Linked DNA regions of Elephas maximus indicus. The protein of the gene in region 1 purifies or fractionates together with the protein of each later gene. This does not show direct contact. Links are inferred from orthologs where the notes say so. Each region holds a gene or a part of one and is shown in the gene's direction. Other genes may lie near its edges. The genes, in order: NLRP3, NEK7 and USP50.

Region 1 (3,752 bases):
TCAGCTGCATTTTTAATTCTCTTATTTTTTGTTAACTTCTTTGTTAATTCTCTTGTAAGGATTTAGATTTTTTAAGTAAACAATCACATCTTCTGAAAAGAAGGATAATTTGATGTCCTCCATTACATTTTTACATTTCTTTTTTCTCTCTGTTATCTAATTGTGTAGGTCACTATCTCCAGAACAGTATTATGTAAGAGGAGGTGGTGTGTATAGCCTTATTCCCATCTTTCATTGGGATGCCTCTAGTGTCTCTCATTCAGCACAACAGTGAATAGATACATGTACCTATTGGTGGTGAAAGGTATATGTATCGTCACATTATGTACTTGGTCATATAATCTTACTTTTAAGAGTGCTTTGAAATCAGTAATACATGAATATTTTAAAATCAATAACAGATGTTGTAGTGGGTTGAATGGTGGGTCCAGAAAGACAGTCCATGTCCTAACCCCTGGAGCCTGTGAATGTGACCTTTTTTGGAAAAAGGGTCTTTGCAGATGTCATTAAGTAAAGGATATTGAAATGAGATCATCCTGGGTTATGTGAGTGGGCCCTAAATCCAATAACAAGTGTCCTTATAAGAGAAAGGCAGAGGCAGATTGGAACATGCAGAAGGGAAGGCCACGAAAAGTTAGAGGCAAGGTTTGGAATCATGCAACCACAAGCCAAGGAATGCCTGGAGCCACTAGAAGCTGGAAGAGACAAGGAAAGATTCTGCTTTAGAGCTTTTGGAGGGAGTGTGGCCCTGCTGACACCTTGCTTTTGAATATCTGGTCTCCAAACCTATAAGATAATAAATTTCTATTGTAAGCCAGCAAATTTGTGCTAACTTGTTGAGATAGCTGCAGAAAACTAATATGGCCTATATGGAGATGATCATATGCTTGATTTTTTTTGTTTGTTCTGTTAATATAGTGAATCACGTTAAGCAATTCATGGTAAAACATCCTCGCAACTCTGGAATGAACTGACCATCTCACCGCACACCAACCCTTTCCTTGGTCTTTTGATGTGCTACTGGATTCTGGGTGCTCGTATGGACTTAGCACTTTTGCATCTATATTAAAGCAAAGGACATCATCTTTGGCTCATGGAAGACCCAAGGCAGGGGACAGGAGAAACTGGAACTGAGTGAAGGTGAGAGCTGGAACACGGGGGAGAGGCAGCGAAACCTGTAGGTCTTAGCACAGAAGCCCCACCCCCTTTGTGGTAACCTTAGTCTGCTTCCCAGTGATAGAATGAAGCCTTAAAAACCCTCAACTCATTGGTTGGCCCAAACTATTTGGCTTAAAGCATTAAAGATATAGCACTGTTGTTTTTTACCCTGGACCGTACCACATAGAGTTGTCCTTGTGAGAAACAGTTCAAACCAAAAGAACAGCTCCCATCAGTGTGCCAAGCAATGTGAGTAATGTGGATGTATGTCTGGGGCTTTGACCATGGTTTCTTTTCACTGTCCGTGGCAGCATTTAAATATATCTTTCATAATTCTGGAAACCCTGATGTTGCAGTGGTTAGGTTCTACAGCTGCTAACCAAAAATTCTCTAAATTTTTCTATAAAGCTCTAACAGAATTTTGAAATTTCTTTTTGGTAATAGTTGTATTGAGATATAATTCATGTACCATAAAGTCTACCCATTTAAAATGTGCTATTCACTGCTTTTTAGTATATTCACAGGGTTCTGCAACCATCACTATAATCAATTTTAGGACATTTTCATCACCCCCAAAAGAAACTGCGTATCCTTTAACAGTAACTCTCCTCTTCCCACTACTCCTAGGCCTAGGCAACAGGTAGTCTACTTTCCGTCTCTATACATTTGCCTACTCTGGACACTTCATATAAATGGAATCATATAACATGATTTTTTTTTTTTTGACTGCCTTCTTTCACTCAGCATGCTTTCAAGGTTCATCTGTGTCATAATGTGTCTGTACTCCATTTCTTTCTATGGTCAAAATGTATTCCATTGTATGGATATACTTCATTGTGTTTATCCATTCATCAGTTGATGGACATTTGAGTTGTCTCCCTAACAGAAATTTTGATTCTTTTATATAAGTAAGAGGTAACATAAAGCATAGTAGTTTAAAAACCAAACCCAAACAAAAATAAACCCATTGCCATCAAGTTGATTCCAACTCATAGTGACCCTGCAGGACAGAGTAGAGCCCCATAGGGTTTCCAAGGAGCAGCTGGTGGATTCGAACTGGCAACCTTTTGGTTAGCTGGTGAGCTCTTAACCATTGCACCACCAGGGCTCCTAAGAGTTGAGTAGGATGTAAAAGGCACCAGAGGGAGATTTATTATTGTTTTAGCTGCTGTTGAGTCATCTTTGACTCATGATGACCGTGTACAACAGAATAAAATGTTGCCCAGTCCTTCTCTATCTTCACAATCATTGGCAGGCTCGAATCCATTGTTGCAGCTTCTGTGTATTTTGAGTGCCTTTTCCAACCTAGGGGGGCTCATCTTCCAGCAATATATTGGATAACAATCTGTTGTGATCCATAAAATTTTCATTAGCTAATTTTCGGAAGTAGATTGCCAGGGAGGGGGATTTAGGAGGCTAGAATTCCAGGCTTCCTCTTGCTTATGCTAGACTTGCAGCTCTCAAAGTGTGGTCTGGGGACCCCTGTAGAACTCTGGATCCTTTTAGGAAACCTGAAGCTATTTTCACAATAATACCAAGACAGTATCTTTTCACTTTCATTCTATCACAACGGAATTTTCAACAGGCTACATGTCATGTGGTATCGCAGTCAACAGAATGCGGAAGCAGACCCGAGGAGCCAACAGCTTTTTTACTAAGGCAGACATTAAGGAGATTTGCAAACATGTAAAACCATGTTACTATTCTCACTAGATATTTTTTGTCTTGGAAAACATAGTCATTTTCATGAAAAAAAATGAATTGTTTATGTTAATGTGTATATTATTGTTATAATCTCTTTGGAGTTCTCACTTCTGAGCATGTAAAGAGGCCTTGAGACCAATGTGTTTGAGGACTGCTGCTCTGCGCTTAAAAAAAACCCAGTGCGTTGAGTCGATTCCCACTCATAGTGACCCTATAGAACAGAGTAGAACTGCCCCATAGAGTTTCCAAGGAGTGCCTGGCAGATTCGAACTGCCTACCTCCTGGTTAGTCGTTTAAGCCTTGAGGAAGCCAGCCACTCTAGATCTTCGTTTATCCTTTTATAAAGGAAAGATATTAGATGAGTTCTAACGACTCTTCAGCTCTAAACATTTGAAGATAGTTTAACGTTACCTGAAGATTTACAAGAGCTTTTCTTGTAAACGGGTTTTGATGAAGCGGAAAAAGAAGAACATTTAGTCATTCCATGTGAGGGTAACTGAGGCATTGGTAGTTCAGTGGTAGAATTTTTCCTTTCCATGCGGAAGACCCAGGTTTGATTCCTGGCCAGTGCATCTCACGCACAGCCACTTCCTGTCTGTCAGTGGAGGCTTATGTATTGCTATGAAGCTGAACAGGTTTCAGCGGCACTTCCAGACTAAGATGGATGAGGAAGAAAAGCCTGGAGATCTACTTCTGAAAATCAACCAATGAAAACCCTATGGATCGTAATGCTCTGATCCTTAGCAGCAGCATTTTGTTCCATCGTACCTTGGGTCTCCATGAGTTGGGGTTAGATTCCATGGCAGTTCACCACAACAGCAATGTGAGGTGGAGGGGAGACACTGGATGCACTAATTGCTCCACAGTGTGGAGCTCTGGATTTCACAAAG
Region 2 (3,752 bases), on another chromosome or scaffold:
TGGGCATTGACTGTGGATCCAAGTAAAATGAAATCCTTGACAACTTCAATCTTTTCTCCATGTATCATGATGTTGCTTATTGGCCCAGGTATGAGAATTTTTGTTTTCTTTATGTTGAGATGTAATCCCTACTGAAGGGTGTAGTCTTGGACCTTCATCAGTAAGTGCTTCAAGACCTCTTCACTTTCAGCAAGCAAGGTTGTGTCATCTGCATAATGCAGGTGGTTAACGAGTCTTCCTCCAATCCTGATGCTTCATTCTTCTTCATATAGCCCAGTTTCATCGGTTATTTGCTCACCATACAGACTGAACAAATATGGTGAAATGATACAACCCTGATGCACACCTTTCCCGATTTTAAACCATACAGTAAGACATCCATATTTATGCCCATTTCAAAGAAAGGTAATTCAACAGAATGTGGAAATTATCAAATGATATCATTAATATAATTCAGGCCAGATTCAGAAGAGGATGTGGAAGTAGGCATATCATTGTTGATGTCAGATGCATCTTGGCTGAAAGCAGAGGCTAGCGGAAAGATGTTTACCTGTGTTTTGCTAACTATGCAAAGGCATTTGAATTTGTGGATCACAACAAATTATGGATAACATTGGAGAGAATGGTAATTCCAGAACATTTAATTGTGCTCATGAGGAACCTATACATAGATACTATTCTCCTTTTACAGACAAAGGTACTGAGACTAGGAGAGTTCGGTGTGGCTGACTCCATACTGCCTCCTAGCAGTCTCCTTCTGTAGAGCCAGTGAGGTTACTGAAGTACTGAGGTCACTGGGCTCTAAGCAATCCTTTAGCAACCATCTGCTATGGTTCTGGGGGGCATATATCAAAATCTCTGATACCATACCAGGCAATTCACGTTTCAGAAATGTCCTAAAAGCCACTGTCGTCTATGCTGGGACTCTTCCGTTAATACAAGGTTTGCTTAGCCAGACTTAGGAAAACGCCTTATTCCCCTCATTTTCTTGCACACATATTTAAGCACAGAGGCAGTTTAAGCCACTCGGTTAAGGACGATAGGATCAAAACGCTGTGATCCAGAAGAAGCGAGGATAACCGATTTGGTTTGCTGCCTGCAAGTGGGGCATTTAAATATAAAGGAGGAAGAAACAATTTCTTAAACAGCAGCGGATCCTGGGATCCCCGCGAAGTTGGTCCCAAGCAGAAGAGGACTATGGGGGCAGAAGGACACTCCCACACCGGGCTAGGCCTGACAACAGGAAACAATATGCCCGAAGGGGCTCCTCCAGAGGTGCTTCAGCCCAGGACTGGAAAGTCGGCGGGCTCCCCCGGCCCCCAGACCGGCCCGCGGAGGGCGCCCAGCTGGGGCCGGCGGCCGGCGGGGCGGGCGGCGCGGCGCGGCGCGCGGGGAGGGGCCAGCGCCCGCCCCGCCCCCTCCTCGGGGATGCCGGGATGTTTATCCTCCTGACAGCGGCGGCCGCGGGCGGAGCAGCGGGAGCCGCCGGAGGATGGGTCGCCGCTAGGCTCGCACTCTGGACGCGCCTCGCCGAGCGCAGGGGGGTGCCCGCGCCTGCAGCGTCCGCGGGGGCGGCGCGGCGGGAGGTGGTCGATCGGTTCCGGGCCTTGCAGGCACAGCCCCCGGCCCGGCGTGCCTCTCCGCGGCGGCGCCTGACCGAGCCGCCCGCCCGCCCCGGATTCCTCGCGGGAAGGAGAACGGAAAACTGCCAACTTCCTGGTGAGTCGCTCTTCGGGGCTTCGGCGCCCGGGCCGGCGATCCCGGCCGGGTGGGGCTGCCTGCGGCAGCCGGGACGGGAGAGGAGGGTCGGGACTGCGCGGGCGGCCTCCGGGATCCCCCGCCTGGCGAGCTGGGGTGGGGCTAGCTGCTCTCGAGCCGGGTGGGGTTTCAGTCCTGCTCGTTGGCAGTGGTGGGAGCGAGCGGTAGGAACTTCATGCCTGCCGCGGGCTCTGACGGCTCGAGGCCTCCGTGGGCGCCGCGGTAACTCAGAAACTCCGCGGCCACCGCGGCAGCGGCGGCAACAGGTCTTTGGTTTCAGGACCAGAGGAACTTAGGCGAAGTCCCGCCTCCTGCCTCCCGGCGGGTGCTCATTGGTGGCTCTGGTTATTTATCCCTCACGGATTGGCTAGGTCCAGCTGCCAGAATTCGGCAGCAGCCCGACTCGGGAAAGTGAAGCTCACTGTTGAGTGGTTAGTGGGAACGATGTTGATAGGGGAGAATCCGAAGTGGCTTGAGAAGTACTTGTGGGGGGGGGGGGGTTTGGAGTAGGGGTGATGATAGACCCTTCAGAGAATGAGTTTTATGGAGATTCAGGATTAGAAAATCTCGGAGAGGGAGATTGCCAGGCAGTAGCGAACATAGGTGATGGTGGTGGCAATGGAAGAGAGAGAGGGAAATTGAAAATAGAGGCCAAAGCCAGAGAAATGAACGGGAGCCCAAAGGATAAAAACCAGGAAGCGAACACAACGTAAAGTATGCCACGGTGAGGTTTGAAGAACTGTCGCCTCCTTCCTTTATGCTGTAGGCCTTGGAAGATGATGTATCAGATGAGTCGTGTTCTCTCATCGCTGTCGTCCTTGTTACGGATAAGTACTAAAAACATACTAATTTTAGAGCAGGCACTTCCTTCCTTGAGTAGTGTGTTGACTGAACACAACATCAGAAATGTACTACAGAAATGAAATGATTTTCCTCCTTCTCTAAGACGACTGATCTTACGGGTGCAGTTGAAAACATTAACCCAAAAAAACATTAAGTGCCCACAATTAGTAGAGCATTGTGTGCCTGTCATTATGAGAACCAATGTTTCTAATTCCTCATCCAAGGAATTGCAGCCTCAACAGGTGACAGCAATATGTCTTGTCAGGTTGCAGTGCAGAGTGTAGTACAGATTATGTGTGTTATAAATCTGTTCTGTTAAGGACCGTGTGCTGCTGGTGTGGTCGAAGTTGTACTCAAAAACTTGACGGTATGTTTGCTACAACCCGATACACGCTGCAAACGGTGGATGGTAACCCAGGATACACAGTTAACCCTGTGATGCTTTGTGACAGCTCTTGCCGATGGACACTGAGTAATCTTGGCTGTAACACCTGGTGAAAAGGTTAACCTAAAACGTAGCAGTTATTCCATTTGCAGAGGAATGAATCCGCTGCTATACTCGAGGAGATCCAGTCCGCAGTTTGCTTCGCTCATAAAACCGCAGCGTCCTCTATTTAGCCCTGGTCTGGAAGCTTGTTGTGGTTGGAAGCTTGTTGTGGTGGGGAAAGTTATTGAAGCTTTGAAAAAGCTTTTCCTCATGGAGGAGTCAAAGGGGCAAAAACTGTATGGGGCGGTCAGAGGACTACTGGCGAAATAAGAAGGCCAGGGAAGTCTTCGCGGAGGCTGACTGCTTTCTCTGCGGGGTCGGGAAGCCCGGGGACCCTCCGGGAGCTTGCGGGCCTAAATTCCGCTTTCCAGCTGGAGACTCCGCCCACCGCCACACTGACGGCTTTCACGGCCAATTGGCGGCGAGGACACCCGGTTCCTCGCTCGCTGGGGCGGGTACTTCCTGCCCGGGCCGTAGGCTCGGAGAAGGAAGAGAACGTACCCCTCGAAGGATGCGTGGAGGCCGAGCAGCACCTGCCCGCGCGGCAGCCTTGTGAAATAAACGCGTGGCAATAAAGGCGTGAGGGTCGAACTCAGGGTTCTTTTGATCCCTCGTACGCGTCTCGTTTAATGATTCAACTGCATGTTGAAATGCACCTTTATAA
Region 3 (3,752 bases), on another chromosome or scaffold:
TGATCTTACATAAGCACAGGATATTGTCAAAAACAAGAAACCTGTATTTATGGAAACATTGTAAAGACACAAGATGTGTATTTTGTTTGTGAAGACATGCATAAGTAGTAACTGAGAATGATATATACCAGTTAGAGACCGTGATTTTCTCTGGGGAGGGTGGGAAAGAGAAGGGACAGAGGTATGGTCTCTGGAGAGAAAAGGGTTGGATAGAAAGGTGAAGGAAAGGACTTCATTTTTACTGTGTTTCTGTCTTGTTTGATTTTTGTACCCACATCAATTTTTAATTAAAAATGTTTTTAATGGAACAAAGTGCTTTTTCAACTCTTGGCCCTGTGCATCCAGCAAAATCTCAAAATCTAAGCATAGGCTGGAGTCTTTCTATGTTTACTGGGTTAGCCTACTCGTCTTGTGTCTTGAAAAGTGGCAATATGGGAAGCAAATGCAGTTTCCTAGTGTTTCCCCAGATAAGTAAAAGGAAGCAAGGGAGAAATTTGTTTACCTGGGAACCGCGTCTGTTTACACGCTGTACACAACGGAAATGCGTGATGGAGGAAAAGGTTGTGTGTACAGTTTATCCTCTGAAATCGAATCTTTTTAAAGCATTTCGAACAGCCAGGTCACAGTAGCTCATAGCAACAAGTTAGAATCTTGAGGGTGAATGGAGAGGATTATGATTCATGGAAAAATCTAAGTTGGAATGGCACCTAACGTGCAGATGAGAATCAGTTTGCAGCTACTGAAAGGGGAGAGGAGCAGACGAAGAATTTAAAACAGACAAAAAGAGCCAAACGGGCTCGGAGAAATGAAGTTTAAAGGATTAGATGTAGCTCCTGAATAAAAGCGAAAGTCCGACGTGGTTCCTTTAAAATGACTTCTCAGCGGCCTTTCCCTGTAGATGACTTCGGTATCTACTACGTCCTGTGAGCCCCTATCTACTACAGCTTTCTAGATAAGCTCTGTTCAGGGCAGAAGCCAAGGTCCAAGGAGTCAGAGGGCACATGCTGCATTTAGAAGGTTTCCCCAGGTGTGGCCTATGGGAGGTCCCCAGAGAAGGAAGGAAAGGTGTTATCTAATATCTAAGCAATAGAGACATGTGCTTCCTGAAGAGTGACAGCCCAGGGCCTTCTGTGACAGTACAAGTTGAGCACTTTCCCAACTGGCTAACTTAAGTAGAGGTGCTGAGGTGAGGCAGATGTCTCATGGAGGCCCACGTTTAGATACTGTGCATGGAAAGGAAAATCAGAAAGCACAAAGTTGCTGGGCTGCCTGGAGCAATATGACAAATGACAAAAGGAAGCCCTGGGCCAGGGTAGGAGCCCGGGGCCGGGGCAGAAGGAGCCCTTGGGACCTCAGTGCTCTTCTCTCTGTGTAGGCCTGGCCTAGCCAAACAGAGCTGTGAGAACATCCTAGATCAGCCACTTCTTTTAAAACAAATGTTGACATTTATTATTTAATCTGTGCCAGGTACCTTGAATCATTTAATTTAATCCTCACAACCCTATACGGCAGGTGGTATTATTATATTATAGATGATAAACAGGCATAAGAGCTCTTGAGTAGGTAAGTGGCAGAGTCAGAATTTAAACTGAGATGTATTTTTTATTAAATCTATCCTCTTACTATTTCTCCTTCTGACCCTCTAGGTGTGTGTGTAGTCTTAATGTGTGTGTGTGTATATATATATATATATATATATATATATATATGCTCTTAATATATGCTCTGGTGGCATAGTGGTTAAGCACTCAGCTGCTCGTGGGAGAAAGTTGTGGCAGTCTGCTTCTGTAAAGATTTACAGCCTTGGAAACCCTATGGGGCAGTTCTACTCTGTCCTAAAGGATCTCTATGAGTCGGAATTGACTCCACGGCTATGGATTTTATTACGCTTTTGATTTGTACATATGTTATATATATACATATATATAGATCTAACAAATTCTTCATCACAATCACCTTCACTTGCTGCATGTGCAGCTTTTAAATCATTGAAACAAGTCAAGCCTTTTCTTGCACTAAAGTCTATATAAGAGCCATATGCACCTGTTACTGACTTACAAATTTGACTTAAAGGCACAGTTACGAATGGATCCCATTCATAACCTGGGGACTGCTTGTATATAAATTCAAATAGCTTAGATAGACAGACAGTGCTGCTGTAACAGAAATACCACAAGTCGATGGCTTTAACAAAGATTTATTCTCTCATAGTCTAAGAGGCTAGAAGTTCAAATTTGGGGTGCCAGCTTCAGGGGAGGGCTTTCTCTCTCTGTCAGCTCTGGGGGAAGGTCCTTGTCATCAATTTTCTCCTGGTCTAGTAGCTTCTCAGCACGAAGACCCCGCCTGGGTCCAAATGATGCGCTCTACTCCTGAGTCTTCTTTCTTGGTGGTAATGAGGTCCCTCCCCTCTCTGCTTAATACTGTCTTTTGTATCTCAAAAGAGATTGACTAAAGATACAACATAATCCTATAGATTGAATCTTGCCTCATTAACGTAACTGCCTCTAATCCTGCTTCATTAACATCATAGAGATTAGGATTTACAACACATAGAATAATCACATCAGATGACAAAATGATGGATAACCACACAATAGTGGGAATCATGGCCTAGCCAAGTTGACATACATTTTTAGGGGACACAGTTCAATCCATAACAGATAGATACTCTTAATATATGCTACAGGCAGTCCCCGGGTTACAAACATCCAACTTGCAGACAACTTGTACTTGTCTTTTAGAGTTATGTAAATTTGACCTCATTTTGAAACAGGGCTTTGAACCAGTTTGGTCCAGTTTGACCGCCTGCTGAGAATCTGCATTTCCACTCAGATATACTGAATCAGAATCTACAGTTTAACAAGATCCCCGGGTGATTCTTATTTATATAGACTCTTATTTTAGAGATAAGAATCACCTGGGGAACTTGTTAAAATGCAGATTCTGACATAGGAATCACCTCAGAATCTTTTTAAAATGAAGATTCAGATTCAGTATACCTGGGGTGGAAAGGCAAATTCTCAGCAGGTGGTCGAACTGGACCAAACTGGTTCAAAGCCCCACTTTGAAACACTGAACCAACCCCTACTCGCAACAAATTCATCATCACAAATCACCTTCACTTGCTGTATGTGCAGCTTTTAAATCATTTTATATCATCAATAAGGCTAAATAAGAACCATATGCACCTGTTACTGACTTACAAATTTGACTTAAAGGCACAGTTAGGAATATATCTCGCTCATAACCTGGGGACTGCCTGTATATAAATCCAAATAACTTAGATATATACACAGAGAGACTGACCGACTGACAGTCTGACAGATAAGATATTCCCTCTTTCTATATACCACTACACACTCCTTAGACTGTTAGCAGGGGCCAATGACTAAACCATTTTGATACCTCATCTGTAAAATGGGATTTAAACTTAAAAATAATTGTACCTACCCCATAGATTTGTTGTAAGTATTAAATGGGAAAATGCATGTTAAACATTTAACAAAATGCTAGGCTCAATAAATGATAGCTATTGTTACAATTAACTACTAGCTATTATTATTGTTACTACTAACAATAATTTACTTGCCCAGCAAAAAAGGAAGGATTGCCTCATTTAATCTAATCCTCACCACCTAACTATAGTGGGAATGCTTGCATTTTAATCTATTCCTCACGACCTAACTATACATTGGGGATGTTTGCATTTTAATCTAACCCTCATGACCTAAGTATAGTGGGAATGTTTGCAT

Evidence for each region.
Region 2: the proteins of NLRP3 (region 1) and NEK7 purify together in Homo sapiens (affinity purification with western blotting; 9 studies listed by BioGRID and IntAct, with this or other methods). This does not show direct contact. The link is inferred for Elephas maximus indicus from reciprocal best matches to the Homo sapiens genes NLRP3 and NEK7.
Region 3: the proteins of NLRP3 (region 1) and USP50 purify together in Homo sapiens (affinity purification with western blotting; 3 studies listed by BioGRID). This does not show direct contact. The link is inferred for Elephas maximus indicus from reciprocal best matches to the Homo sapiens genes NLRP3 and USP50.

The regions. Positions count from the first base shown.
Region 1 is NC_064820.1:233,753,291-233,757,042, forward strand, and holds the start of NLRP3 (NACHT, LRR and PYD domains-containing protein 3), read left to right. Parts: upstream 1-918; 5' UTR 919-1,140; intron 1,141-3,752. UniProt on the Homo sapiens protein: Sensor component of the NLRP3 inflammasome, which mediates inflammasome activation in response to defects in membrane integrity, leading to secretion of inflammatory cytokines IL1B and IL18 and pyroptosis.
Region 2 is NC_064836.1:5,886,791-5,890,542, forward strand, and holds the start of NEK7 (serine/threonine-protein kinase Nek7), read left to right. Parts: upstream 1-1,453; 5' UTR 1,454-1,719; intron 1,720-3,752. UniProt on the Homo sapiens protein: Protein kinase which plays an important role in mitotic cell cycle progression. Required for microtubule nucleation activity of the centrosome, robust mitotic spindle formation and cytokinesis.
Region 3 is NC_064830.1:51,392,784-51,396,535, reverse strand, and holds the start of USP50 (inactive ubiquitin carboxyl-terminal hydrolase 50), read left to right. Parts: upstream 1-870; coding exon 871-923; intron 924-3,752. UniProt on the Homo sapiens protein: Deubiquitinating enzyme that removes conjugated ubiquitin from specific proteins to regulate different cellular processes. Regulates the inflammasome signaling pathway by deubiquitinating 'Lys-63'-linked polyubiquitination of the PYCARD/ASC adapter protein.